Linked DNA regions of Saccharomyces cerevisiae S288C. The gene in region 1 interacts genetically with each later gene. Each region holds a gene or a part of one and is shown in the gene's direction. Other genes may lie near its edges. The genes, in order: MPF1, PAM16, MEF2 and ROF1.

Evidence for each region.
Region 2: mutations in MPF1 (region 1) and PAM16 together harm fitness less than expected from each alone (positive genetic interaction), as found in Saccharomyces cerevisiae (one large-scale study listed by BioGRID).
Region 3: mutations in MPF1 (region 1) and MEF2 together harm fitness more than expected from each alone (negative genetic interaction), as found in Saccharomyces cerevisiae (one large-scale study listed by BioGRID).
Region 4: mutations in MPF1 (region 1) and ROF1 together harm fitness more than expected from each alone (negative genetic interaction), as found in Saccharomyces cerevisiae (one large-scale study listed by BioGRID).

What each region holds. Positions count from the first base shown.
Region 1 is NC_001146.8:349,519-358,886, reverse strand, and holds MPF1 (Mpf1p), read left to right. Parts: upstream 1-3,844; coding exon 3,845-6,067; downstream 6,068-9,368. Other genes in the region: ammonium permease MEP2, read right to left, coding at 1-1,434; YNL143C (uncharacterized protein), read left to right, coding at 1,701-2,093; MFA2 (mating pheromone a), read right to left, coding at 6,357-6,473; YNL146W (uncharacterized protein), read right to left, coding at 6,870-7,172; YNL146C-A (uncharacterized protein), read left to right, coding at 7,307-7,501; Sm-like protein LSM7, read right to left, coding at 7,504-7,833, 7,930-7,947; ALF1 (Alf1p), read left to right, coding at 8,216-8,980; PGA2 (Pga2p), read left to right, coding at 9,131-9,368.
Region 2 is NC_001142.9:221,084-228,651, forward strand, and holds PAM16 (import motor complex subunit PAM16), read left to right. Parts: upstream 1-6,243; coding exon 6,244-6,693; downstream 6,694-7,568. Other genes in the region: protein kinase IME2, read left to right, coding at 307-2,244; SET4 (Set4p), read left to right, coding at 3,972-5,654. UniProt on the Saccharomyces cerevisiae protein: Essential component of the PAM complex, a complex required for the translocation of transit peptide-containing proteins from the inner membrane into the mitochondrial matrix in an ATP-dependent manner.
Region 3 is NC_001142.9:228,965-234,266, forward strand, and holds MEF2 (mitochondrial elongation factor MEF2), read left to right. Parts: upstream 1-2,336; coding exon 2,337-4,796; downstream 4,797-5,302. Other genes in the region: GSM1 (Gsm1p), read right to left, coding at 61-1,917. UniProt on the Saccharomyces cerevisiae protein: Mitochondrial GTPase that mediates the disassembly of ribosomes from messenger RNA at the termination of mitochondrial protein biosynthesis. Not involved in the GTP-dependent ribosomal translocation step during translation elongation.
Region 4 is NC_001140.6:452,867-461,428, forward strand, and holds ROF1 (Rof1p), read left to right. Parts: upstream 1-3,724; coding exon 3,725-5,086; downstream 5,087-8,562. Other genes in the region: CTR2 (low-affinity Cu transporter), read left to right, coding at 6-575; YHR175W-A (uncharacterized protein), read left to right, coding at 692-841; FMO1 (N,N-dimethylaniline monooxygenase), read left to right, coding at 1,363-2,661; STB5 (Stb5p), read left to right, coding at 6,433-8,562.

The sequences.
Region 1 (9,368 bases):
TGTGTTACCCACAATCTTATCATCAATGTTTTCATGAGGAGGTGGCATTTGTGCCGATGTTTTAGATCTGATTGGTTCTGGGATGTAAGCAGTGGATTCCTCGTATGTAAATTCACCAATTTGAGCAGCGTCGGTACCTAATTCTTCCTCATCAGCACTTAATCTTAGTTTTAAAAATGGAATGGCATTCATAGTTAGAAGCAAGATAGATGTGACAGTAACAGTCCAGGCTAGTGCAGCGCATATACCTGCTAATTGATAACCAACTTGTTTATAGTGATGATTGATCCAGCCACCATCAATTGGACTAATGTAAGAGCCTGCAGTGGCATTTACATAGTCTGCAGCAAAGATACCAGTTAATACAGAACCAATACAACCACCCACACCATGGATAGAGTAACAATCTAGACCATCATCGATGCGCAATAGACTCTTTAAGTCAACAGCAAGGTTACATCCTGCACCAGTAACCACACCAATGACAACGGCTGACCAGATTGGCACGAACCCGGCGGCTGGGGTGATACCCACTAGGCCAGCGATGATACCTGAACACAAACCAACTGTAGTCCACTTTCTTCCGCATCTGAAATAATCGATAACCATCCATGTCAAGCCACCGCAAGCAGCAGCTAAGTTTGTGGACATAATAGAGTACCATGCTCGTATAGTTGCATTACCTGCAGAGCCTCCGTTAAAGAACATCCAACCAAACCATAAGAACACTGTGCCTAAAACCACCGAGGTGACGGAATGTGGTTTGTACTTGGGCATCCCTTTACGTGTAACAGGGTCATTACGCTTACCCAGTATCAAAGCGTAAACTAGACCACCATGTCCAGATGTTAAATGGACACATAAACCACCTGCATAGTCCAAGCTACCCAATTTGACCAACCAACCCTCGGCATTCCAGACCCAGCATGCAATAGGACAATAAACAATAGTCATCCATAAAAACAAGAACACCATCATAGGAAACAACCTTGCCCTCTCGCAGGCACCACCTAGCATTAGGGCACCGGTGACTGCGGCAAACATACCTTGGTAAACGGCAAACAGTATATCGGGAAGAGAACTGACACTAGATGGGGCTCCTAAAACGTTACGAAACCCAAAGAATTCCAAGGTACCAATAAAACCGTTACCTCTAGTGTTGTGTGAGAAAGCTAATGAGTATCCCCAGAAAAACCATTGGAAAATACACACGGCGGAAGCCATCATCGAGGCCCAAAGCAAGGATAAAGCATGCTTTTTCCTGGATAAACCAGAATATAATAAACCGATACCTGGGACCATAATCCACACACCTGCTGAAGCCACACCGATCCATCCCATGTTGGCCAAGTCAAATTGTGTATTCAAATCTGTTGTCAACGAGTTACCACCCGTTCCTTCGCCTGTAGGCGTACCTGTAAAATTGTAAGACATTGTTGATATTGTATTGTAATATATTAAGTATGATATATTACAAAACTAAACTTCTTTCAAAGCTCTGTGCAGACTTATTATTTAAGAAGGATATTTAATTTGAAAGGACGTGAAAGCACGAATGATTACTACCCACTGATGTTTGGTTAGCACATGTGTAACTACTGCTTATATATGGTGCAGAAAAGTGGCTCGGAATGAACACCTCTTGTACTGAATACTTCATTGATAAGGCACAGGGTCTTCACGCCGCTTAGTATTCGTCGATGCGTGAGCAATTGAAGCTTTTTACGAGGGAAATAGTCGATTTTACATTTCTTATCTTATCTGGCTTTGACTATTACCAGACACTCTTGATAAGCAGTAACAGCAGTAAGAAGAGACCGAAGGATTCTTCTTTGTTATCGGAAAAAAAAAAAAAAAAAAAAAAAAAAAAAAAAGATGTCTTATCTTATCTTTCTTATCTTAAAGACCTACCATTTGTTCCTTTTCTATTTTGGCAGCCCGGGTATTCGCAAAGGGAAAAAAACCCAAGACAGCATTCCTTGTTCATTATGACTATTACAAAGCCAGGAATGATTTCGATGGCCGACATGAATTACGTCGTTTCCAAGAACAGAAGCTTAAACCGTCCTGCTGAGCGGGGCGGTAATCGGTGACCAGGCAGCCTATAAAATGAAGTTGACAACCGAGTAGGCTATCACGTATGCATGGAACGTATATTTTAGCGTGACCAATGCTGAATGATGATAGTCTATAGCTGAAAATATTATCCAATAATATCAGAAAAAGAAAACTCACCAGCACCAGTGCATCCAATCTGTATTCTGTTAGTATTCCTGATACAGTTATTTCCCTCGTTATGGCTCATTCAGACGCCAAAAAGAGCATAGAGTTAGACAACATTGGAGGGAGTAGCTCAGTTACTGTTGACAGTGGCTTTCACTAATAAAAGCCATTGCAATATGATAATGACTAGCAGAAATTTAAATATTAACAGGATTCTTCTTGGATGAGAAACGTACATAATTTCGCAAAAAAGAAAAAAATATTTACTGCTATAAATCCTGTCATCAACAATAGTTTTCTTCCTTGCCAACGTCCTTTAGCACAAATCTCGTAGGTTCTATGCTTAACAGAGCGTCAACAGAAGCGGGTATCGGCTCGACGTGAATAATGGAGATTGTTACATCCATGTGCCGCTCTACCCATTTCATTTCTACGCCTCAATAAAATGTATGAAAAATGAAAAGATGTAAAACAAAACAACAGTTCCGTAACCGCGGAAAGTTGCGTCTCGTAAAAGGAATGAAAAACTCATATACATTCACCAGATATGTTCTATGAAACTCGAAAGCTTCCATCAATTCACACTAAGCTACACGGCTCCTAATAAGCACTGTAATTCCATCAAATGACAGCGTGACTTCTTGAGTAGTGTAGAACCACTCGTCCCACTAAATCACAGCCCTTAATCCGTGCACAGTGAGTTAAAATATGACTTTATTCATGTAAAACGAAATTTCATCATATACTCGATCTTTGTTCTGCTGTTCTTGAGATGTAAATTACGTGAATTCCTCCGGTTAACACCTTCAGAGTCGCATGGTCAGTCAAAAATTCCACGTCTTATCACCGTGGTCTATTCCAACCTTGTAATATAACCAACACATCGATTTTCGGTACATGGGTGTTTGAGATTTATCCTCATTTGACACATGTACCTGAAACTAATCTTTTCTATCCGGGGCTCCGTGGGAAACGTAACCCGAATTCAAATTCCGCCGAGGCCCCTTTTTTATTTTAGCTCACTCACTGGGTACGGAAGCAGATAGAGCTCTGGATACCCGGAAATCAGCAACACCCAGAGACCTTGGCACGGGAATAAGATGCAGTACCGAATGATCCGGGTCCCACAACTAAGTCAAAAGAAAAAAAGAGAGAATTATTTTGCTGCGGTTTTTCGTTACCTATGCTAACTGTTTCCTCCATACCCCTCCACGCCGTTTTCTCTAATACTGTCCCCATTATCTTTTTGCGAACTTTCTTTCGGCTGCTTCCGGCCAGTTTCTCCCCCATGCAACCCCCTGCGCAAAGGAACAGATCTGCTCTTGATCAAGTAAGAAAATGTGGGGGGCAGGCATCTTGAAAAATTCTCTAAAATTTGCATGTATTCTGTTTTCCGCCAAGGGATAGAGCAAGTGGAAGACGTAGTTGAAGGACTTTTCGTAATATATACAGGCATGCTATTTATTTATTTTGTTGGTGCTTTCTTGGTAAATTGCAAAAACTGTTAGTGAAGTTTCTTTGTAACTTTGGCACTAGTTGTTACACAGGCAGTAACACTAAGCACTATTTTTTTACGTTGTTTTCGCAGACAGCAGAAGAGATAAACGGACCTATTCAGAAAATGTCCTCCAGCATCTTTGAAATGACAATAGACCACGACGGTATGGATAGTACGGGGCTGAAGCTTTCACAGACAGCCTCATCCATATCCATGGGCGACGAGTTTCTTTGTTCCAGTACTACTAGTAATTCTATTCTGGATTCTCCGCTTCCGAAAGTGACTTTTAACCATATCGATAGCATAACAGACATTAACACAAACATCATGAACGAAATAGTGGAGCCACAATCCGGAGTAGATGTTGATGTTGCTGACAAAAACGTGCTTTACTGCATAGATCCGTACCCAGTGGAACCTCCGTGTTATGATTTTGCGAATCCGTCTAAAGTCATTAGGTACCCTATATATGAGCATTGTCGTCCGTGCCTCACTTCTGTGAAACCTCCCAGTTATACACCGTCTGTAGAACACTATACTGTGGTTTCTATGAAGATGGAAAAACTATCGCCCTTTGAAAATGCTTCTTCTCGATTATGGAACAACTTTATTCTTCAAATAAACTCTACGCAGATAAACTTTTATTCTATTGACGATTCATTAACCAGGCATATTAAAAACTATCGTGGTGGTGACATGTTTGACCATTCCCACCATTCCAAAACTGCTAGCGATCGCCATCATTCGGCTCGGTCGTTATTAAATGCGTTCACGACGAAATCCACTTACCAATTCGATAAATATGACAAGGAAAGGATATGCGGGGAAATAGCACGAGACGAGCACAAATTTTTATCAGATGAGCGCCTCTTTAAGAGTTACTCCCTGCAATGTGCCAAAGTTGGTCTGCCTATAGATTATTCCTCTAGAGATTTTGTTTTAAGAATGCGTTGTGAGGGACAACAGTTTCTAGTGCAGTTTTCTCATGTAGACGAATTGATCTATTGGGCTATGTATTTGAACATGGGTATATCCCTGTCCTTGGATCTGGAATTGAGGGAAATGCCCACCTATAGAAGCGTTCCCAGAAGGAGACATCCGAGGGCAAGAAGATTTAAGCAACACAATAAGAACAAAAACAAAAACAAGAGCAGACAAAATAGTGATAGAAATGATTCTCGCTCCCACTCTTTACTTTTAAGAAGATCACACACCTCTTCTGTTGTAACAAAAGTGGCCACCGGCAACGAACGTCCGACAAACAAATCAAGATCAAGAAGTTTAAGCTTGCTACCTCCCTCTGTATCCGATGCGAGTCATGACTCCAATGGGCCCAATGACTCTGGTTCATTGGCAGGGGAGAGTTCTCAAACTGATTTTTGTGGCTTATTTACATCAAAACTAAGAAATTTCTTTAAAACAGATTCCAGTTCGAGAAAAAACTCTAATATGGACATTGGACAAAAAATGAGATCGAAGGAACTGAATAGTGTTCAAGAAGAAATCGATGACAATGGTAGTACTACTAATACCAATACTTCTGTTCTATCTTCCACTTTTTCTCCCACAGCACATTCTGTTTTAACGGCACAAACATCCATCCATGAAAACTTCAGAAGTAGATCGAATTCCAACCCTATAGATCCTTTGCGCTGTGATCGGTCAGTGTTGAAAATTAATAATTTTGAACCGGTATACGAGGGAACAGGAAGGTCAACTATTTCGAATTCTGCTGAGCGTACGAATCGTGAAGAAAAGTTAAACCGTGGCAATGAAGATGTAAATGGAGATGAAGATGATGACGAAGACGAAGACGATGCTAATTACGAAGAGGATGATGAAGATGGATATGTTGAGGATGATGACATCAATAGATTGGTATATTTGGATGAAAGAGAATCTCGCTATGAGAATGCGGACGTTGAGTACGGTACAATATTCAGTACGAAAAGCTTTTCCGTGACTGGTTGTTTAAATCATGATTTTCCAAAGAAATTGTCACTAAAATGTGGAAATAAGAATCAATCCAGTAACGATTCGAAGTGGGCACCGGCGACACAACTAGTTTCAAGGAAAAGATATATCAAAGACTCATTAAGATGCATCAAACCGTTAACGGAAGACCACCCATGGGTAGGTAAGATTATTTTCAAACCGGCACTGCCACCAGCATTCGAAACGAATAATCCACCTATAAGAGTTTATAGTGGTGAAGATAGTACGGACTTGATGCACGTGAAAAACCATTATTTAAAGCCATACATAGTGGGATCCTGCGGGTTTTTGAAAACTGGCTCAAAACTTTTTCACTTTTACGATAGAACTAACGACCTTACGAATTTATGAAATATATGTGTTTTTAATGATTAAATAATAGTCAAAAATATAATTAAAAAAAAAATCGAATGTAATGGGTGGTTCATCTTTCATTTCCTGCGGAGGGAAAGGCGTATCAGAAAAGAAAAACATGAAAAAATCTGTTAAAGTGATAACTACAAATACATATGTATAAAAGTATGAAAAAGTATGGAAAGGGTGAGCTAATGATGAGAGAATTGGAATAAATTAGTTTGCCAGCAACACGTAATAAATGAAAGGGTAGATATTGATTTGACCTCTTGGTTGTCGTCAAAAATTAAGCGATAACACAGGCGGGATCCCAGAAGAGGCCCTTGATTATATAGTTGTCTTTCTTTTCAGAGGATTTATCCTTCTGAGTGGCTTGTGTGGAAGCAGTGGTGATCGGTTGCATTAAGGTTGGTAGTTATTGTTGTATGAAGATGATAGCTCGCTGGTGTCTCTAGTGATGTCAATGAACGGATGAACGACAGAAGAAGTGGATGGAAATAAAATGGTTATTTATCAGATATTTATATACAAAATTACGTGGTAATGCAACAGCTTTTTCCTCTCGCTTTGTTCTTTTTCCTCTGACATGCATGTTTCATTTTCGTTCCTTATGGCATCCATGTCATGTAAATTTCCCGAATAGGTAAATACATGCTTTTTTAACTTAAAAAATTATGGGCGTCCTATGCATGCACTTAACGGAAAAGGAAACTATCAATTAATTATGTAGTAGATGGTGTACCTATTATTGCATTAGTATTTGTTTCAAATGAAAACATGCTGCTTTAACTTTTCTAATTTATACCATAAACGGTATAGTAATGATGAAACTGAAAAATAAAAAAATAAACAGTCTGGTCTTATCGACCATGTTAACATCATCAAAATCCACCAAGTTTTCCGAGAAAATAGATGAGGGCCTGTTATTATTACTAACTGAGTTTGAATTCTTTTTGTAAAATCGTGGCAGTAGTTCTTGAAATGTCATTTTGAAGGACACTGAGTTTCGAAATATCAACATTATGAGTATGAATAAAAGTGTAAGGATAATGATCCTTTTGAGTTCCATGTGATGAGAAGTGGTATGCTTAGTATTGCTCATACTGGACAAATACGAAAGGAATCAGTAAATAATTAAGATTGTAGAGGGAGGGGTGTATGTGTATGCGGATACTTTTTTGATTTGGCAGAAGGAAAATTGGTATTGGCAGCTGTACAGTGACTCCCCTTATACAAATGATCTCAGTTTGTTTCGTTTTTCCTCATTCTCTGGCTTTAGACTTCAAATCGCGGTGTAAAAAAAATAGGACAAAACTATGTAGCGCATACTATGTCAGTCAGGTATTGAGAATATGTAAAGAAATGCCATACCGTGATTTGATTTTGTTTTCAACTGTAAGGAAGGGAGTTTATATGAGATTATATTATTAAACCTATTTTTGCATATATAGTACATCAGAACCTTCGGCGGAACTTAAAGAGACCAAAATAGTACCTCTTATGACGGTCAAACCTAGCTTTCTTGCGTTTTTAGAAATCAGTTCAGTGTTGTTTTCATCATCAGGATTAGACATATATTCTACTGTATCATCAAGTACCAAGTTCATCAGTTGATCATAGCCTTTTAGGACACCTATAACTAATTTACCACCCATTAATTTGACGCGAATTTTAGAATCTTTATACTTCGCTAAATCCAGAATAGCTTCTCTTTTAGGGCCTTCGAATTTTTTCCTTTGCTGTTGTGGTTTGTTCTCTGATTTCTTAGTTCAAAAAGGAAACATAGTTATTATAATGTTAGTATAAATAAGTCAAAAGGAAGGTTATTGCCACGGAAGAAAATAAGAAGTGAAACATACGGAGTGTTGCTGATGCATGTTTTTTTGGTTAATGTTCTGTGTAGTAAACAAAGTGCTGCTCTCAAATAACTTTCTTTTTTACTGTAGTAGTATACACGTACATGCGTATTCTTAATTGTCGTTTCCCAGTTGTCTGTTTTCAGCTACAGCTTTTTTCGCCTTTGTTCGAAAGAACAGTACTTTTTTCCGGCTCGCAGGGAAACGGCAGTTGAAGAAGACAAGCGACAAGAACATAGAGCAACGAATTCAAATAAAGAGATAGAAAAAAAAATTACATGGCAAAACTATGGTTAGAGTTGTCATAGAGAGTGAATTGGTCCGTACAGAAAAGGAATTACCAAATTCGCTTAAATTAAGGCAGTTCAAGGACCGATTGTACCATGTTACCGGAGTGGAACCAGAGGATATGGAAATAGTTGTGAAAAGACAGTACGACAACAAGGAGATATATAGTACTAAAAAGGGGGGTGCCTATTCAAATGAGGATGAAGATGCCAACTTCCTAAAAGGAGAGGAGGAGCTTATTGTGGTTGTTACAGACTCTAATGCCCAATCAATCTCTAACCAGCTGGCCACGCAAGCGGAAGGAATCCCCTCAATGGAAGTAATTAGCGAGGAGGATTATTTGCGAAGGGATCAATCCGTATTACGATGGAAGATGGCTCACGGCTATGGTAGGTTTAATGCTGCACAGCAGAGCCAGCGCGCTGCGCTGGCAAAGCAGGACGAAGCATATGCCCGAGAGCAATTAACGGCGGCTATCGGCCGCCACTGTCGTGTCACAGTAGACGGGAGCGCTCCACGTGAGGCCATTTTACGGTACGTAGGACCACTACCGTTGGACGTGATGGGCACATGGTGCGGTGTGGAATTCCCGGAAGCCGCAGGCAAAAACGATGGGCGCATAAATGGGGTAACACTGTTTGGGCCTGTGGCGCCGGGTCACGGATCGTTTGTGCGTCCGCGGGCTGTGGAAATTCTATCAAAAGACGAAGAATCCGCCGAGGTGGAAGACGTCCATGATGACGTGGAGAGCGATGATGAAATTTGAATTTGTGCAGAATTAGCGCGGTGGCGGTTTAGTTAGTGATCTCCATCCGATGTCAACATATTATTATTTGTAGTTGTATTTATGTGCACTCGGCGGTTTGTATGAGGAAAAGATGTTATGAAGAGAAAAACTGCCGAGTAATTGAAAGAGATGTCTGAAGTAGCGGAAACATGGGTGGATACCTGGATGGCAAAACTAGTCAACTATGACTACAAGCACTTTATAAGATTGGTGATAATTGTAGGTGGTTATTTACTCTTAAGAAATATCGCATCCAGGGAATTGGCGAAGAAGCAGTTGGCTGCCCAAGTGGAAAAGGACAAACGAGACAAAGAGGAAAAGAGATCAAAAGACCTGATCGACAAGCCAGATGATGCTGCAACAGCAG
Region 2 (7,568 bases), on another chromosome or scaffold:
TTTATTTTCCAATATCACTCAACGAGAAAGAAGTTACAAGATCTATCTTTCAAAATAGTTTACAGTTACCTTTACTTTACCCTTTCCCTTTTCAGTTTGTTACCCCTTCTCCTAAAAGTTTTATTTTTTGGGTAAAGATATAAAGGACACTCCAGTCGGTTAAGGTGGCTGTCTAGAGAATATAAACCTGTATTTATTTACCAGGCTTATCAGAAAAGTTAATCGTGTTCTTAAATATTCATTGAAAAGGAACGTGATACAGACGTAATAAAAGAAGAGTACTAAGCTTAACTTAATAGGTCATTTATGGTTGAAAAACGTAGTAGACAGAGTTCCAGTAGTGGCTCAGAGTTCAGTGTTCCACCTGATGTCGATAACCCGCCACTTTCTATCCCTTTGAAGACTTTATCAGACAGATATCAGCTGATCGAAAAACTAGGTGCAGGATCATTTGGTTGTGTAACTTTAGCCAAAGCGCAATTTCCTTTATCGAACATATTGGGTAAACAACATGATATAAGGGGTACTTTAATGGATCAGCCTAAAAATGGTCACCAAAACTATATAACAAAGACACAAGGTGTAGTGGCTATAAAGACAATGATGACAAAACTGCATACACTCCAGGATTATACGAGGGTCAGAGAAATTAAGTTCATACTGGCAATCCCAGCGAATGACCATCTGATACAAATTTTTGAGGTCTTTATTGACTCTGAAAATTACCAATTACATATCGTAATGGAATGTATGGAGCAAAACCTATATCAAATGATGAAACATAGAAGGCGCCGAGTTTTTTCGATTCCTTCTTTGAAATCTATTCTATCGCAGATACTGGCTGGGTTAAAACACATCCACGAACATAATTTCTTCCACAGAGATTTAAAACCTGAAAATATTCTTATCACACCAAGTACCCAGTATTTTGAAAAGGAGTACATGAACCAGATTGGATATCAAGATAACTATGTCATTAAACTTGCAGATTTTGGTTTGGCACGCCATGTTGAAAATAAAAACCCGTATACGGCCTACGTTTCCACAAGATGGTATAGATCGCCTGAAATATTATTAAGAAGTGGTTACTATTCCAAACCTTTGGATATTTGGGCATTCGGGTGCGTGGCGGTGGAAGTTACTGTATTCAGAGCTCTCTTCCCCGGTGCTAACGAAATCGATCAGATATGGAAAATTTTAGAAGTTCTTGGTACACCTATCAAACGTTCTGATTTTGTTAATACAAACCACATCACAGCTCCACCACCTGGTGGATTTTGGGATGATGCCAGTAATTTGGTCCATAAATTAAACTTGAAATTGCCTTATGTAGAAGGTTCATCGTTGGATCATCTACTTTCTAGCTCCCAACTATCCGATTTATCTGAGGTTGTCAAAAAGTGTTTAAGATGGGATCCTAATGAAAGGGCAACAGCCCAAGAGCTTTGTGAAATGCCATTTTTTGAAAACACCGTGGCATCCCAAGTAGACGCAAGAGGCAATGTGACTAATACAGAACAAGCATTGATTTTTGCAGGTATAAATCCAGTAGCGACCAACACAAAGCCCATATATTTTAACTCTTCAACAAAATTGCCCGCAGAAACAGAGTCTAATGATATTGATATCAGCAACAACGATCACGATTCTCATGCTATGTGCTCACCAACATTAAATCAAGAAAAACTAACTTTGGTAGAATTTTTAAACGAATTCGTTGAAGAAGATAATGATGATCACTCAATACCTGATGTTGGAACAGATTCTACCATTTCAGATTCTATTGATGAGACTGAATTATCAAAAGAAATTCGTAATAATTTGGCCCTTTGTCAACTACCAGATGAAGAAGTCTTAGATCATTCATTATCGAATATTAGGCAGTTGACAAATGATATTGAAATTATAAATAAAGATGAAGCAGACAACATGGAACAGCTATTTTTTGACCTGGAAATTCCTGAAAAGGATGAGTTTCAGAGAAAACAACCATTTAATGAACATGCAGATATTGATGAAGACATCGTTCTACCATATGTGAACAACTCAAATTACACACATACAGATAGGTCACATCATAGAGGTGATAATGTTTTGGGTGATGCCTCTTTAGGCGATTCGTTTAATTCAATGCCAGATTTTACTCCAAGAAATTTCTTGATACCTACATTAAAAAAATCACGGGAAAAGTTCGAGCCTCATCTATCCAATTCAAACCAACATTTTGGAAATGTAACCTTCTAATAATTTGTCATTTGACTGACGAATCGTTAGGCACAGTTATATAGTTATATACACATAGACATACATATGTTCGCATATATATTATATTACTATGCATTCACCTAAATAGCTACTGCTCTATTAATACAGTGCTTTTTCGATGGCTTTAATTTAACTTATTAGACATTACTTTGCGTTTATTCCCCTCCAATATATTTTTATGTTTGTTTTTCTTGAACATTTTATGATTTCTTGCTCTTGGCGGCTACTGATTTTGTTAAGCAACTCATCAAGAGGTCAAAAAAAGTAGAACGAGATCTTTGTGTTCGGTTACCCGGCTCAGATCCTAACTTGGTATGTTTATTCGTATAAGTTACTGTTGTCCACAGGCAATACTCTGCAGAAAATTAAAACGGCATTAATGCTAGGACAACCAGAACTGTTACTACTGTATGTGCGATAGTTGATAACTGCAACATTATGCCCGGTATATTCTCAAAAAACCCTATTACTGCATACGAAGAAATCGCAAGAGAAATCTTTCGGTTTGGAAAAGCTCACTGTGAGGTTCCTTGGAGCCAATAGTAATACAGCACAATCCAAGGAAAAATCTGGCCTATATGCAAGGAAGGAGAGATAGTCAAAAGCATTCTTTCCCCTAGAAGTTGGTGCATATATGGCATCGTTAAAACATATTACCCCCAAAATTTCTTCTCTAAACGATGTGCTTGGCCTTTGTTTTGGTTTTTGATGTCGGTCGTTTGAGGCCCCTTGCGGAAAATCGAGATCGCCGAATGGCACGCGAGGGAAGGGAAATAAGGTTTAAAGGCACTGAAACAATAGGCAAGAAGTAGGCGAGAGCCGACATACGAGACTAATGTGTCCGCGTTTCTAAGGCCACTTTTCAATGAAACGGATATTGATATGCTAGTAAAAGGACGAGCTCAAGAGCGAAAATATAAGTAAAGAATTCGAGTGCACTTGTCTCCATGCAGCAAGATTTCATATGAGTCTTTTTTATCTTTTTACTTTTTACATTACACGATATGCACTTTATGAAAATTTAACGAGGTTGGAAGCCGGATAATCAACCAAAATCAGGCACGAAGGCACACTCGTATATGCATGTTGTTGAAACTCTGTTACGCTGAACTAACAATCACACATGTAGAGGTCACCGGGAAAAGTTGCGACCCCATGGAAGGTCGATCTCTTCGTTTGGCTTTGCTTGGCTGGCGGCATTGCGCTTCTTCGCTTATACCCGTCTCTTGACGCTCGAGCTCGTTCATTGAGATACCTTTATTCTTGCACATTTTCTGGCTTTTTTCGCTACTCGGGTACATGTAATCATGCACACAGAAGGTGCTGTAGGGTGAAAGTTCCTTTGTGCTGTCGTTTGTTTTTAATGCCAAACTTTCTGGTGATCAATAACCACCTCTTTTTCCTTCAGGAAACCTTATTATTGTTCTTGGATAGTACTAGGAAGTATATAAGGAACCTCGATTTTGGTATTGCACGGCTATACACATCTAAGAAACTTTGTATAAAAGGTGGCTACCCTATTCATAGCTTGATATCAATAGGCCATCTCATCACTTTTTATTGAAAAGGAAAGGAGGGAAATATATCTGATTCAAATTACTTGTTTGCTTCTCTTTAAGACAAAAGCATAGATAATTTCAGCGTGGAACGCCGGAATAAGATTGGTACCCTCGTCAGAAAGTTACAAATACCGCTTCATCTTCAAAATGACTTCACCGGAATCACTATCTTCTCGTCATATCAGGCAAGGAAGGACATACACAACCACAGACAAGGTCATATCGCGGTCGTCGTCGTACTCATCTAATAGTTCAATGTCTAAAGATTACGGCGATCACACACCCTTGTCCGTCAGCAGTGCAGCTTCAGAGACATTACCCTCACCTCAGTATATGCCGATAAGGACATTCAATACAATGCCTACAGCTGGCCCAACGCCTTTACATTTATTTCAAAATGACAGGGGCATTTTCAACCATCATTCTTCATCAGGCTCATCAAAAACGGCATCAACAAATAAAAGAGGAATAGCAGCAGCAGTAGCATTGGCAACTGCTGCCACCATACCATTTCCACTGAAAAAACAGAATCAAGATGATAATTCCAAGGTCTCGGTAACACACAATGAATCATCGAAAGAAAATAAAATTACACCCTCCATGAGAGCAGAAGATAACAAACCTAAAAATGGTTGCATCTGCGGTTCAAGTGACTCCAAGGATGAGTTGTTTATACAGTGTAACAAATGTAAAACGTGGCAGCACAAGTTATGTTATGCTTTCAAAAAATCAGATCCAATAAAAAGAGATTTTGTTTGCAAAAGATGTGACAGTGATACGAAAGTGCAGGTTAATCAAGTAAAACCAATGATATTCCCTAGAAAAATGGGAGATGAGCGATTATTTCAATTTTCATCCATAGTGACAACTTCAGCATCGAACACAAATCAGCATCAACAGTCTGTGAATAACATAGAGGAACAGCCCAAGAAACGTCAACTTCATTATACCGCCCCAACAACTGAAAATAGCAATAGTATACGGAAAAAATTGAGGCAAGAAAAACTGGTAGTATCAAGCCACTTTCTGAAGCCACTACTGAATGAGGTAAGTTCTTCCAATGACACGGAATTCAAAGCAATAACAATATCAGAGTATAAGGACAAATATGTTAAGATGTTTATTGATAACCATTATGATGACGATTGGGTTGTTTGTTCTAACTGGGAAAGCTCAAGGTCAGCTGACATCGAGGTAAGAAAATCATCAAATGAAAGAGATTTTGGAGTCTTCGCTGCAGATTCTTGTGTTAAAGGTGAGCTAATTCAAGAATATTTGGGCAAAATTGATTTTCAAAAAAATTATCAGACAGATCCAAATAATGACTATCGTTTGATGGGAACGACAAAACCTAAAGTACTTTTTCATCCACATTGGCCTTTATATATAGACTCTCGAGAAACAGGCGGATTAACAAGATACATAAGACGGAGTTGTGAGCCCAATGTGGAACTAGTAACGGTAAGACCGCTTGACGAAAAACCAAGAGGAGATAATGATTGTAGAGTTAAATTTGTTTTAAGGGCTATAAGAGATATTCGTAAGGGAGAAGAGATAAGCGTAGAATGGCAATGGGATTTGAGAAATCCTATTTGGGAGATAATAAATGCATCTAAAGATTTGGATTCCCTACCGGATCCCGACAAGTTCTGGTTGATGGGGTCAATAAAGACTATTTTAACAAATTGTGATTGTGCATGTGGGTACTTGGGCCATAATTGTCCAATAACTAAAATCAAAAACTTTTCTGAAGAATTCATGAGGAATACGAAGGAATCCCTATCTAATAAATCTTACTTTAATACAATAATGCACAACTGTAAGCCATAAACGAAATTTTAAAATTAATAGTATTCATTTTAATCTTTTTTGAAAGCTTAATTTTATCATCATAATTTTTCTTCCAAAACTTCAATCTTGGTATTTTTTTTCGCATTGGTCTTCATTTTTTTTCTTTTGTTTTTAGCTTTAATGTTGAAAGCGTGAATATCAAAACACTTTTATAATAAATCACCACTTTGTAACTATAGAGAACAATTCATGCTTTATTTATAGATGCCACGATTAAGCATCAATCATTAGTTGAGAGGATCCTTAACGTTAAAATCCACCGCACTTTTCCTTTCAAAAAGCTGCATTGTTTCCATAATTCATTTCATGGCAGGTTAATGACTTATTTGATATGAAGAGTGAGGTTCTTATCAAATGAAATTCCTACATATGAATTTTTTAAAAGAGAGTTTTTCGTTTTACGATATTTATTTACTTCATCATCGTTTATCATTTTTCACGTAGCAAATTTTGAAGCTTCAACTTATAACTCATTTGCATCCGATTCACATATTTCAGCTGACTATAAATTTGGCAACAGCTTCGTGACTTGAGCATAAGAAAAACATAGACTTGTTGGATATAAAATATGGCTCACAGGGCTTTCATACAGGTTATAATCACAGGAACTCAAGTTTTTGGAAAAGCATTCGCCGAGGCGTATAGACAAGCGGCTTCACAATCAGTGAAACAAGGTGCTACAAATGCATCTAGAAGGGGAACAGGAAAAGGCGAATATGGTGGTATTACGTTGGATGAGAGTTGTAAAATTTTAAATATTGAAGAATCCAAGGGCGATTTAAACATGGACAAGATTAATAACAGGTTTAACTATCTATTTGAGGTTAACGATAAAGAAAAAGGTGGAAGCTTCTACTTACAGAGCAAAGTTTATCGAGCAGCAGAAAGGTTAAAATGGGAACTGGCTCAGAGAGAAAAAAATGCGAAGGCGAAAGCAGGGGACGCTTCAACAGCGAAACCTCCTCCGAATTCAACAAATTCATCTGGTGCAGATAATAGTGCAAGCAGCAATCAGTAGTCAAGGAAGCCTCCATCATTACGTCACAAGTGTTATCGAAAGCATGCAGCAGTGCATATATTTTCCTAGTTGGTTGCTTCCTGTACGTTAGGAATCTTCAACCACCATCCTTGTATTTAGTTAATATTAGTATATGTACCAAAGTAAATATACTCAGATGCCATCTCGATATACGCACCGTACACGAAAATGAAATTAAAAAAAAAATGTTGGAGCACAAGCAAGGCAGCATCAGAACGTACCGTCAGTTGGTACCAAGACAAGTCCATCCCCGTAGGCACTACAAATTATGGGAATGAGAAAGTATACAAAATATAAACTGTCTTATCATGAAGAAGAGTCGCTTAGGAATTTAAACTTTCAAATCGCATTACGCAATTCTCTAAAAACGCGAACCTTTCCCTGATATGTAATCAGGGAATTTCCTCAGAATAATATTCGATCTAAGAAACCGGAAACGAAATGAAAATTGTTACTACTTTGTTTAGGAGTAGTCAAAGTTCATTCAGCTATGGGTTATGATGAAATGATTTAAATTATTCTCGCTCCAGTATTAACTTATTACGTAATATGAGCTTAAAAGAGCAAGCTCCTCATCACTCACACTCCATAACATGAAGAACGAAAATAACCTAATCTTTAGGTTTCTATGGTATAATGAAATTAATATTATCTAAAGATAGTATTAACCACTACTGATGTTAGCCTTTTGAAAAAAAATCAAAAGAAAAATTTGAATTTTAAAGAAGAAGTAACAAAGGGAAGAAGTTTTTGCCAATCGGACAACACTAGCTCTATTTATACTTTTCTGTTGCTCCAAAAACAGGAAAGAACAAATTTTTCAATTTAGTGTGACCCGGCTAATAATAAAGAGG
Region 3 (5,302 bases), on another chromosome or scaffold:
AAAGAAACGGACAGAATGCATATAAAAACTGTAATCAGTAATAAGCCCAAAAAATAGTGATCAGTCCATTTCAAAAATTGGTAAAAATTGTCCCATTACGAGAATTGGGATATTAAACGAGTCCCTTTTTACTGTCCAACAACAGGCACACTTCAAATAAAGACCGTTACTTAATAATAAATTGCACTTAGTAAAGATTGCTTTTCCATCCGTAGTAAAAGAAAACCCTTCTGTAATTTTTGACGAGGTAGAAGAACATGCGTTCAACATCAATAGTTTTTTCCTTTTATTGATATCATTGTAACCAAATGCCAGCAATTCGTTAAATATTTGAAAGTAATTCGAAACGCTTTTATGATCCAGATATTCAAAAATAAAGGAGGTGCGGTCTAATAGTAAATTTTTGTTAAAACCTGTTAAAGAATAGAATTCGTTACTGACAAAACAAATCTCGCCTGATCTTCTCCAGATGCACATCGGTGTGCAGCTTACTAATTTTGCCATGTTCTCCAAATCTAATAAAGCCCTTTGCAAGGTAACTTCCTGTAATAGCAAATCCTCTTCAATCATATTGGATGTTAACGAAATGAAAATTGGAGCATATCTTTCTAGTATAGAGCGTATTATAACTTCTAAATCATATCTCAAATTATGCTTTTGGGTACTGTGTTCGTCTTTTACTGAGGCAGATTTATCAATTTCAGCTCCTTCAAGAAATTTTTTTCTTAAAGTAGTTAGCAGTTTGGTGTATGCGAGCTTGTAATTATGCGGTTTTATTAAACATTTATTGTCATATAGGTCTTGAGGAGTCTTTACTAATTCACGAAACTTTGAAGGTGATATGAAATCGGTATCATGTTTCTCCAGATCTGCATCGGAGTGACTAGAACTGTCACATTCGCTTTCCAGTTTGGCGTTATGTGATGGGTGTGTATTAGCGTTTGCTCCACGATTCAAATGCAGCATGTCTAAAGATATAAAGGGCCTAGACACTACTTCATCATATGTATTGAAAGTAGAAGTGGAATGGCCGATCGAGGAGTCCTTTTGGTCATTCACGCTTTTTGTCGAGTTTAAAAGGTTCGTTAAATGCAATGACGAATTTCCCCGTGTAGATGCGCTAGGATTGGGATATTCTGATTCTTGGAGGGAAAATATCTGGGAGTTATTCGGTAAAAACGGCGTTGAAATATCTACTATATCCTTTAATTTCATGTATTCGTCATTGCACCACATACTATCAAAGTGAATATTAGTTTCGTCATCGACATCATCGTCACTCTTATTACTATCGTCCATTCCAGAGTGCACAGGAACGTTTGAAGTAGCAACCAAACAATTGGTAGCCAGCGGCTGCTGCATTGCTTTATGTTGCTCTAGGAAATGCGACTTTAAATTGAGAGTACTCTTCCGTACGGTGGGTATGATGGGGTCATTCATTAAATGTACTGCTTGTGAAGCTGATATATTATTAGAAGTATTTTCTAAGACGGTCTGGCGGTTATTCGTATTGAAGTTCGTAATACGTGGAATAGATCCAGCGCTTTGAAAGTTATCATTTATATTATACGTATATTGGATATTCGTATTGTGGGCAGGTGTTTTGCCTGGTTTTTCCTGATCTGAAGATAGAAAATCTCGCTGCAGATGTACGCTTGAGGGGGATACCGTCTTCGACGGCACATCATGTATTACCAGCCTCTTCCCCAAATTCAAGTATGGTTGTGTTCCATGCTTCTCAATTCGTTTTCTTGATTTCCTTTTCTTATCTCTGCAAAACTTCCCAATATTTCTTTTTAAACAGTTTTGACATGGCCTCCCTACGTCACACTGTATATGTTTGGTATGACAGAATTCACAAGCTGTCTGGATAGACTTTCTCGTCTGTTTCAACTCTGAAGGTAGTTTTTTGGTCATATGTATATATATTCTTGTATGCTGTATCCAAATATATTATTTCTTTACTCCCTTTATTGCTAAGCTGTAATACGTTAAATCATTCGAAATATGATCTATTCATGCAAAAACTTGATGTGTGTAACAAAGAAAATATCCGGTTCAGAGATCCGAACAAATGATAGTCGTACCCTTCCCCTTAGTGTTAACTCGTTTAAGCAGGCTATGATGATTAGTAAATCGTTTCAGCCTCTTCTCATTTCGACAATTTTTGAGGCCTTCCCTTAGTGAGAGGGGAGATAACCAATCAGCACAGAGAACGACGACGGCGCGGAGGCTGGGCGGTTAAAAGAAGATAATGTGAAATAGATCAACAAGCTTTCTGGTGGCAAAACGGCAGTCAGAGATATACAAAAGGGGCAAGATAAGTGAGGGAGGCTATGTGGAAATGGAATGTGCGCAGATGGGCGGGCGCAAGAGTAAACATTAGCAAGAACCGATTAAGTGTAATTAACGTTGGAAGTAGATACTTATCGACCGCAAGAAGTCCACTGTCTAAGGTTAGAAATATAGGAATTATAGCCCATATCGATGCAGGTAAAACTACCACAACAGAGAGGATGCTTTATTATGCAGGAATCTCAAAGCATATTGGAGACGTCGACACTGGCGATACGATAACTGATTTTTTAGAGCAGGAGAGATCCCGAGGTATCACAATTCAAAGCGCTGCGATTTCATTCCCATGGCGAAATACTTTTGCAATAAATCTTATTGATACGCCGGGACATATAGATTTTACTTTTGAAGTGATTAGGGCTTTGAAAGTTATTGATTCATGCGTGGTCATTTTGGACGCTGTTGCCGGCGTAGAGGCACAGACAGAGAAGGTTTGGAAGCAAAGTAAATCGAAGCCCAAAATCTGCTTTATCAACAAAATGGATCGTATGGGGGCGAGTTTCAACCATACAGTCAATGACTTGATAAATAAATTTATGAGAGGAACAACTACCAAACCGGTGTTGGTAAACATTCCTTACTATCGAAAACAACCGACTAGCAATGATTATGTTTTCCAAGGTGTTATTGACGTCGTAAATGGGAAGCGATTAACCTGGAATCCAGAAAATCCTGATGAAATTATCGTGGATGAGTTGGATGGTACTTCTCTTGAGCAGTGTAATCGTTGTAGGGAATCGATGATAGAGACTTTGACTGAATACGACGAAGATTTAGTCCAGCACTTCTTAGAGGAGGCAGAAGGCGATTACTCCAAGGTTTCCGCACAGTTTTTGAACGCTTCAATAAGAAAACTGACTATGAAGAATATGATTGTACCTGTCTTATGCGGTGCGTCTTTTAAAAATATTGGCGTGCAGCCTCTATTAGATGCTATAGTTAATTATCTCCCTTCGCCCATTGAAGCCGAACTACCAGAACTAAATGATAAAACCGTTCCAATGAAATATGACCCCAAAGTTGGATGTTTAGTAAACAACAACAAAAATCTTTGCATTGCTCTTGCATTCAAAGTGATTACGGATCCAATCAGGGGTAAACAAATATTCATTAGAATTTATTCAGGTACACTAAACAGTGGCAATACCGTTTATAATTCTACTACTGGGGAAAAATTTAAATTGGGTAAATTACTGATACCCCATGCGGGAACATCACAACCTGTAAATATTTTAACTGCGGGCCAAATCGGATTGCTTACTGGCTCTACAGTCGAAAACAACATATCTACTGGAGATACACTAATAACGCATTCGTCGAAGAAGGATGGGTTGAAATCACTTGATAAAAAAAAGGAGTTGACGTTAAAAATCAATTCTATCTTCATTCCCCCACCAGTTTTTGGTGTTTCCATCGAACCAAGGACTTTAAGTAATAAAAAATCGATGGAAGAAGCTTTAAACACTTTAATTACTGAAGATCCCAGTCTTTCAATTTCTCAAAATGATGAGACTGGCCAAACGGTTTTAAACGGTATGGGTGAATTACACCTTGAAATTGCCAAGGATCGATTGGTTAATGACCTAAAAGCAGATGTTGAATTTGGTCAGTTGATGGTGTCCTACAAAGAAACAATTAATTCAGAAACAAATATAGAAACGTATGAGAGTGATGATGGATATAGATTCTCCTTATCTCTGCTACCAAATTCCGATGCCCTTCCTAACTGCCTTGCATATCCATTAGGAGTCAACGAGAATTTTCTGATAATGGAAAAAAATGGTAATTGGGATAAAGAATGGAAATACCAAGTTTCTTTCGAATCAATTCTAAATTCTATTATTGCAAGTTGCATTGTGGGACTTCAAAGAGGCGGAAAAATAGCTAACTTTCCCTTATATGCATGCTCCATCAAAATCAATAGCGATTGGTCAGTCCCACCTGATATTGAAACTCCACAAGAAATCTTAAAAATTACTAGAAACTTAATTTTTAAAGCTCTCAATGACTTAAAACCTGAAAAATACAACCTTCTGGAACCCATCATGAATCTTGATCTAACAATCCCTCAATCTGATGTTGGTACGGTGTTACAAGATCTAACAGGAGCAAGAAAGGCTCAAATTCTGTCTATTGAAGACGAATCAAGCGTGTCAAATTCTGGCGCATCCACTTGTAATTCTCCAGAGAACAGCAATAGGATATATATTCCCTCTGATGCTGTTACAACCCTACACGCAACCAAAGATAAAAAAAACACTCAAGAGACCAGTTCTAATGTAAAAAAAATTATAAAAGCGAAAGTGCCACTAAGGGAAATTACCACCTACACCAATAAGCTAAGGAGCTTATCGCAAGGGAGGGGTGAGTTCAATATTGAATATTCCGATATGGAGAAAGTTACCAACGATCGCCTACAATCAATACTTCACGACTTGTAGCAAAAATGTCCTTAATAAACGCCTTGTTATATCTTTATCAAAATGGTTTTTACAACTATCGAATAGTGTGAACCGATAACTGTGTAGTTGTATATTAATAGAACTTTACTTTTGCGCAGGAACAAACATTTTATTGCGACATAGGCATACCTTGCCCTCAGAGATCTTTATATTCTTGTTCCTCGTGGCCCAATGGTCACGGCGTCTGGCTACGAACCAGGAGATTCCAGGTTCGAGTCCTGGCGGGGAAGAATATTCTTTTTGTCACTAACACAACCATTCTATAAATTGAAGAGAAAAATTAAATGGCCAATATTCTACGTGCTTGTTATTAGAAACTCGCAACAATTGTTCTGCAAGGCCCCTCATTTTTTTTTGCTATATAAAATAATAAATGGTCACGTTGGCATAAGTTTGTGTAGAAATGCTTAAGATCACTTGCAAAAATATAAACTGAATAATAAAAAAAAGAGGTATAATACTGGTCGTTGCTTTTTCAATCACCG
Region 4 (8,562 bases), on another chromosome or scaffold:
ACTACATGGATGATAAGAAAACATGGAGTACAGTCACTTTGAGAACCTTCAATCAGCTGGTAACGTCTTCGTTAATTGGATACTCAAAAAAGATGGATAGCATGAATCACAAGATGGAAGGAAATGCGGGCCACGACCACAGTGATATGCATATGGGAGATGGAGATGATACCTGTTCGATGAATATGCTATTTTCGTGGTCATACAAGAATACGTGTGTCGTCTTTGAATGGTGGCATATCAAGACCCTGCCTGGACTGATTTTAAGTTGTTTAGCAATTTTTGGTCTAGCCTACCTCTATGAGTACTTAAAGTACTGTGTCCATAAGAGACAATTATCCCAGAGAGTATTGTTACCAAATAGATCTCTGACCAAGATCAACCAAGCCGACAAAGTGTCCAATAGTATTCTATATGGTTTGCAAGTGGGATTCTCATTCATGCTCATGCTTGTATTCATGACTTATAATGGTTGGTTAATGTTAGCTGTCGTGTGTGGGGCAATATGGGGTAATTACAGCTGGTGTACTTCGTATAGTCCTGAGATAGATGACAGCTCCCTCGCCTGCCATTAAGATGGTGACAAATATTACAAATTTGATACTATTTGTATCTATTTTGTTTTTATCCGGGATTTTTCGTATTTCTTCCTCATTCATACCCTTCCCTTTATTTGTTCCCACTGAGTATAATGATAAACTACGTTAACATTACATGTATAATATTTAGCACTCGTACGTTACTAGTCTTTGACACAAGTTTATATATCCCCCCCTTTATGTTATCGTTTATTGGCTACAGCCTCAGTAATCAAAATAGTCCACTATTTCTATATCATTAACTTCTGCGTCGCCAAGATGTTAATCATGAAACGATCTAGTTCTTCAACAGTTTGCCAGCGACCATTCGAGCTAATCTTGAACAAAAGTAATACTATTTAAGGGTGGGCGCGGGTTGTTATACCGTTTTGAGACGATCTACTATAACGTTATATTTAATTATATAAGTGATGAATTTAATGTCCCGTCCACAACACGAAATCGCACCTCATTTCAACGCGGCAAGTATTAATGTTCTGCTTTATGAAAGATTCCATGAACCCTTTTCTACCTTTTAAATTCCTCTTTTCACTCTTAATCACATGATATTACCTTTACATAGGAAGCGCCAGACATCTTTTTGCCGAGAAAAGCCATTATGCAAGATAATCCTGTAGCCTCATATCAAGGATAAATGCCACTGCAAAAACGCAGTCGTTATTTGGGACTGTATTTAAATGGGCCACTGTTTTTATACAAGTCGAAAATACAATAATACAGAAAATTCAAGCAGGAAGCGAGAAATAACAAGAAGTAACTAGGCATGACAGTGAATGACAAAAAAAGATTGGCAATCATAGGTGGGGGGCCAGGAGGGTTGGCAGCTGCAAGAGTTTTCTCGCAAAGTCTTCCAAATTTTGAAATAGAAATATTTGTAAAGGATTACGATATTGGCGGTGTCTGGCATTATCCAGAACAAAAAAGTGATGGGAGGGTCATGTATGACCATTTGGAAACCAATATATCAAAGAAGTTAATGCAGTTTAGCGGCTTTCCCTTCGAGGAAAACGTCCCTTTATATCCGTCTCGAAGAAACATTTGGGAATACTTGAAAGCCTATTACAAAACGTTCATTGCCAACAAAGATGCTATCAGCATCCATTTCAGCACCGAAGTTACCTACTTAAAGAAGAAGAACTCTCAATGGGAGATAACATCTAAAGACGAACTAAGGACTACTAAATCGGATTTTGACTTCGTTATTGTTGCGTCTGGTCACTACAGTGTCCCTAAACTACCAACTAATATCGCAGGTCTCGATCTATGGTTCGACAATAAGGGCGCCTTTCATTCTAAGGATTTCAAAAACTGCGAGTTTGCCCGTGAAAAAGTCGTTATTGTGGTGGGAAACGGCAGTTCCGGCCAAGATATTGCCAACCAACTAACTACCGTTGCAAAGAAAGTATATAATAGTATAAAAGAGCCTGCGAGCAATCAACTGAAGGCCAAGTTAATCGAGACTGTCCAAACAATAGACAGTGCCGATTGGAAAAATCGTTCAGTTACTTTATCTGATGGAAGAGTACTTCAGAATATAGACTACATTATTTTCGCCACAGGCTATTATTACAGCTTTCCATTTATAGAGCCCTCCGTTAGACTGGAAGTGCTAGGTGAGGGTGTTACTGGCGACAAGCACTCGTCTGTCAATCTGCACAATTTGTGGGAGCACATGATCTATGTAAAAGATCCTACGCTGTCCTTTATCTTGACCCCGCAGTTGGTCATCCCGTTCCCGTTGTCGGAACTACAGGCGGCTATTATGGTCGAAGTATTCTGTAAAAGCTTACCGATAACTACAACTTTCGACTCTAATGCCTGCGGAACGCACAACTTCCCAAAGGGAAAGGACCTGGAATACTATGCAGAACTACAGGAACTACTGAATAGCATTCCACGTAGGGTCGGTCATTTCGAACCAGTTGTATGGGATGATAGACTGATCGATCTAAGAAACAGTAGTTATACAGACAAAGAAGAAAGAAATGTGCTTCTAGCGGAACACGCACAAGCCCTAAAGAAAAAAAAAGCACCATACTTCCTTCCGGCGCCACATACTTAACGTAAAAAGGAATGTACTTGTATAGAAAAAACACATATTGTGCCGCTTAATATTTCGTTTCCCTCATGTATATACCTTATCGCTGTTAAAATAAGAAATCTTCACTTCTGCTATCTTTTTTTTTCAAACATTGATTAATAATCCGGCCGTCCGCAGATTGCTTACGCAGAATATACCGTACCGCCACCGTAAAATTAACGAATACTTAAATTTCCGCCTCTTCCGTTTCGGCAATAGCGAACCTTAATGTAAGTTTTTAAAAGGCAGCGCCAAAAATTGCTCTGAAAGGCCTGCAGTGCTTCGCGGCTACGCAGTTCCCATGTAAAAAAAAAAGAAAACTTTCTTTTTGAATCTGGAAAATCCGCACAGGCGCGCCAGCATAAACCTCAGTATCCTGCAAAGGCCATCCTTTTAAAGATCTTAACAACGTATGAATCTGAGGCAGAGAGAAATTAAGCGATAAACGTTCCTTTTAGACTTTCACTTTCTTGGCCGTCATTTAAAAAAAAATTATCTAATAATCTCTAATTTTAAGTTGAAATCACGCTAACATATGACTATGACTATTAACCTTTTTATGTGGAAAAAAAAGGAAGAATATGTTGTAAACGTATTTTAGCCTTGTTCCCGGAACTTTAATCACTCTGGCAACTTTTTAAGTAGTCTGTCTTTTTCTCGGTCGTATATTCCTCAAAATTCAAGAGGAAAGAGGAAGTGAAGAAGAAAGCCTAGAAAAAAAAAATAGGCATTAACACAAAAACGCACCTAAGGGACTGAGGAAAATCAAAAAAATGATAATTGCAGTTAGTAAATCTTCATAATCGACGCCCACTTATTCTTTCTTTATAGTACCGGGTAGGCGGGTAATTCATACGTAGCTGCTGCGGGAGAACTACTATGTATCATTCCCTGTTTATTTGTATGAATTATTATTTAATACGTACATTCTTGTAAGCCCTTCTTCAACAAAACAAACAAATAAAGCGAGAAAAAAGGGAACCACGAATTAAGATAATTAATCAAACAATAGATAGGAAAAGGAGATCGACGAGTAAGCGTAAGAATGATGGATATCAGCCCTACCTGTTATGGGTACATCGACGACGAGCAAGATCTAGCCCTTGTTTTCCAGGGCGTATTCAATGGAAATTTGAGATGCATCGAACGGAGGCCATATGATGCAGAAAAGGTTGAATTAGTCAACCCCGGAAACATTTTTGTTTTCAACGAAGAGAAATCCGGCATCAAAAGATGGACAGATGGTTTTTCTTGGTCTCCTTCAAGAATTTCAGGCAAATTTCTCGTATATAGAGAGTATAATAGGCTGGGTTCCACGCACGATCTACCGCTGCATAATGTACCTGAGTATAATATCTTCGAGAGGGCTCATAGGAAGTATTTTTATACTGGACTACTGAAAAAAACATTTTCTCTAAAATTCAATATGGATCCCACCGACAGCACTAAGCTGGAAACATTTCATCTTATTGCGTACTATACGGAAAAGGATATTCATCAAGGAAGTTTGAGGAGACCTTCAGAAAATCCTTTCTTCCATAAATTTCGACCTTCACAGAAACTATTAGATGCTTTACAAAAAGTTGCTGTAGGAAATGGCAGATCTAACCCGTCTAAAAATAATGAGAGAGGCAGAACCAAAGCTCATAATTATAAAACGCGCAGGTCTTTATCATCTTCTCCGAGCTATTGTGATCTCTTGAGCAATTATAACAACCATCCTGGAAATATTCCAGTTAGGACCGCAGTTCAGTTACCTTTAACCACCTTCAATAACGCTCCTCGAGAAATGCACCAACAGCAGCACCGACAACAGCAACAATATCTCTTACCCATAGATGAACAGAATAAATTACCTCTCCCGTATATGCAGCACCAGCCACAACCAATTGGTGTTTACAATCCTAACTATCAGCCTGGATTGAGACGTACGGTCTCACAACCTATGATTTTCTGCAATACATACAATACTCTCCCGCAACAACCTACTGCAGCACCTTATGAACGGCGTGGCGTGTCGCCTTCAGTGATATACTCCTCCAATACATTGAGCCCAATACCATACCAAAATATCGATCCATACTCTTCGAGGTCGGGTCCTGAATGCAATCACTCTAAGGCGCCTATCGCCCCAACAATGATGCCCCCAGTACACCATATACTTGTGCATGATTACCGACAACCAAAACCAGTCACAGATTCTATTAATCCTCCAAATGTAAACATAACCACCTCCACAACCAACAAGAACCTAGATGGCATTTATATTTTGCCAGCTCCTCGTATGAATCCCCCGGCTCAAACACAATACCAAATGATTCATGCGCCAGACAGCATGCAACATCCACCAACATTTAGTAAAAACAACACATCAAGCAATCCTAAATCCCACCAATACTCAAAGTAGAAGATCAGCATCCTTTCAATTGCTGAAAGGTTCACCTAAAGTACCGCTCATATTCCAAAAGGATTCTTCACTACATAGAAAGGGCAGCCAATTGTGTGTTTTTCAGAAAGGGTTTTAAAAAAACAGGAGGGTGCTTGTTCTTGTTGTTCCCTACCATCGATGGATTTCGAAAAACTATTTATAGGACCATCTGATTTTCACCTCCATCATTGTATCATATACTAACAAGCATATCCAAATTTGTAATTCTATCATGAAATTTCCAGAGAAAGAAACGCAAGGGAACTGAGAAATCAAACCTAAAAACGGTTCTTGGCATTGTTATGAAAAATGAATAAACCAGGGGGGCAAAACAATCGAGAACCCCAATCAAAACCATGTGAGATACCCACTTCGAAAGTTACTGATATTATAACTCTTGTGTCCTCTCTTCTAATACCTTACTTTCACCTTTCTCACGTAGTTAAAGTTGCAACAACACATTTTGTCCTCATCCAATTTCTTCTATAGAATATCCGTTTGCCTCCAGGAGTGAAGAAATGATAGCAGTAACACTGTGAAAGCGAGACTAAGAGAAACGACTTAAAGCTCGAAGACTTCTTGAGGATACGTTTATGTTTCTGTGGCTTCTTCTTCGCGGCGCGGTTCTCGCGTATAGGAATGTTCTAAGACAAGAAGGCATGAAGTTATGTTAACAGATTCTATATCTACTCGCTACGCATATATAAACGGATTCATCATTGAAACAATGGTACTTGTGGTAATGTGTACGACGATTTCAACCCGAATAAAAGCAAAAGTGCAAAAAAAAAACAAGAAGCGCTTAGCACTGTTGAATCATTTAGAACACTACTAATGCTGGTAATACACTCAAGAATGAAGAGTGGCTTACTCCATTGTTGATGCAAAAGTTGTAAATTTCACGAATTATTTAATGCGTTCCTTGCAACCTTCTATTTTGATGAACATCAGGAATTGAAACAAAAAAAAGGCTTCAATCTCAACGGAAAACGGGAAGAAAACTACACTCGATTATACTATATATGCCAAGAAGATTCTCCGACAGATTGTCTACTTAATTTCACATAATATATCTTGTTTTACTAGCTTATTATATAGCGTCGCATTTAATTCATGGCGCCATCACCCGCAGGGAATATAACGACAAGGCCGATACCACGGGAAAAATAGGGCGAGCGGAAATACTAAAAGAAAAATAAGCTTCCGAAATAAAACACCGACAATGAAGTTCTTGGCAAGGTTCGGTTATTTCCTCTACGTAACAAGAGGTATAATATCCGAGCGTACAGGGCTAAAAAATTAATACAAAGGTGTAAAAGAAGGACATGGATGGTCCCAATTTTGCACATCAAGGCGGGAGATCACAACGTACTACTGAATTGTATTCGTGCGCACGATGCAGAAAATTAAAGAAGAAGTGTGGTAAACAAATACCGACATGTGCAAACTGCGATAAAAATGGGGCACACTGTTCATATCCAGGTAGAGCCCCAAGACGTACCAAGAAGGAGTTAGCGGATGCTATGCTACGAGGGGAATATGTTCCAGTGAAAAGGAACAAGAAGGTAGGAAAAAGCCCATTGAGCACTAAGAGCATGCCAAACTCTTCTAGTCCGCTATCCGCAAATGGCGCTATAACTCCCGGGTTTTCGCCTTACGAAAACGATGATGCACATAAGATGAAACAGCTAAAACCGTCAGATCCAATAAATCTTGTCATGGGGGCAAGTCCAAATTCTAGCGAAGGTGTCTCATCGCTAATTTCGGTGCTAACATCGCTGAATGATAATTCTAATCCTTCTTCGCACTTATCCTCTAATGAAAATTCCATGATTCCTTCCCGATCATTGCCAGCTTCCGTGCAGCAAAGTTCGACAACTTCATCATTCGGAGGATATAACACGCCTTCACCACTAATTAGCAGTCATGTGCCTGCGAACGCCCAAGCCGTACCGCTACAAAACAACAATCGCAATACTAGCAACGGGGATAACGGCAGTAATGTTAACCACGATAATAACAATGGCAGTACCAACACACCGCAATTGAGTCTTACCCCATATGCAAACAATTCAGCCCCCAATGGGAAATTCGATTCTGTGCCGGTTGATGCATCCTCGATCGAATTTGAAACTATGTCCTGTTGCTTTAAAGGTGGTAGAACAACATCGTGGGTCAGAGAGGATGGCTCGTTCAAGTCAATTGATAGATCCTTACTGGACAGGTTCATTGCCGCATACTTCAAACACAATCACCGTCTATTTCCCATGATTGATAAAATAGCATTCCTAAATGACGCCGCGACAATTACTGATTTCGAAAGGTTATATGACAACAAAAACTACCCTGACAGCTTTGTTTTCAAAGTATACATGATCATGGCTATTGGTTGTACAACTTTACAGCGTGCTGGTATGGTTTCTCAGGACGAAGAGTGTCTGAGTGAACATTTGGCTTTTTTGGCCATGAAAAAATTTCGTAGTGTTATAATTTTACAAGATATCGAAACTGTACGATGCCTATTGTTGTTGGGTATTTATTCGTTTTTTGAGCCAAAGGGCTCCTCGTCATGGACAATTAGTGGTATCATCATGCGATTGACCATAGGATTAGGTTTAAATAGAGAGTTAACTGCCAAAAAACTCAAGAGCATGTCTGCTTTAGAAGCAGAGGCAAGATATAGAGTGTTTTGGAGTGCTTACTGCTTTGAAAGGCTAGTATGCACCTCGTTGGGCCGTATATCCGGGATCGACGACGAAGACATCACTGTGCCACTACCGAGGGCGTTGTATGTGGATGAAAGAGACGATTTAGAGATGACCAAGTTGATGATATCATTAAGGAAAATGGGCGGTCGCATTTATAAACAAGTCCACTCTGTAAGTGCAGGGCGACAAAAGTTAACCATCGAACAAAAGCAGGAAATCATAAGTGGATTACGCAAGGAGCTAGACGAAATTTATTCTCGAGAATCAGAAAGAAGGAAACTGAAAAAATCTCAAATGGATCAGGTGGAGAGGGAGAACAATTCTACTACAAATGTAATATCCTTCCATAGTTCTGAGATTTGGCTAGCAATGAGATACTCCCAGTTGCAAATCTTACTATACAGACCATCTGCATTGATGCCAAAACCGCCCATTGACTCACTATCCACTCTAGGAGAGTTTTGCTTGCAAGCCTGGAAACATACTTATACACTGTACAAGAAGCGGTTATTACCCTTGAACTGGATAACCCTTTTCAGAACATTAACCATTTGTAACACTATCTTATACTGTCTTTGCCAGTGGAGCATCGACCTCATTGAAAGTAAAATCGAAATTCAACAGTGTGTGGAAATACTAAGACATTTCGGTGAAAGATGGATTTTTGCTATGAGATGCGCGGATGTTTTCCAAAACATTAGCAACACAATTCTCGATATTAGTTTAAGCCATGGTAAAGTTCCTAAT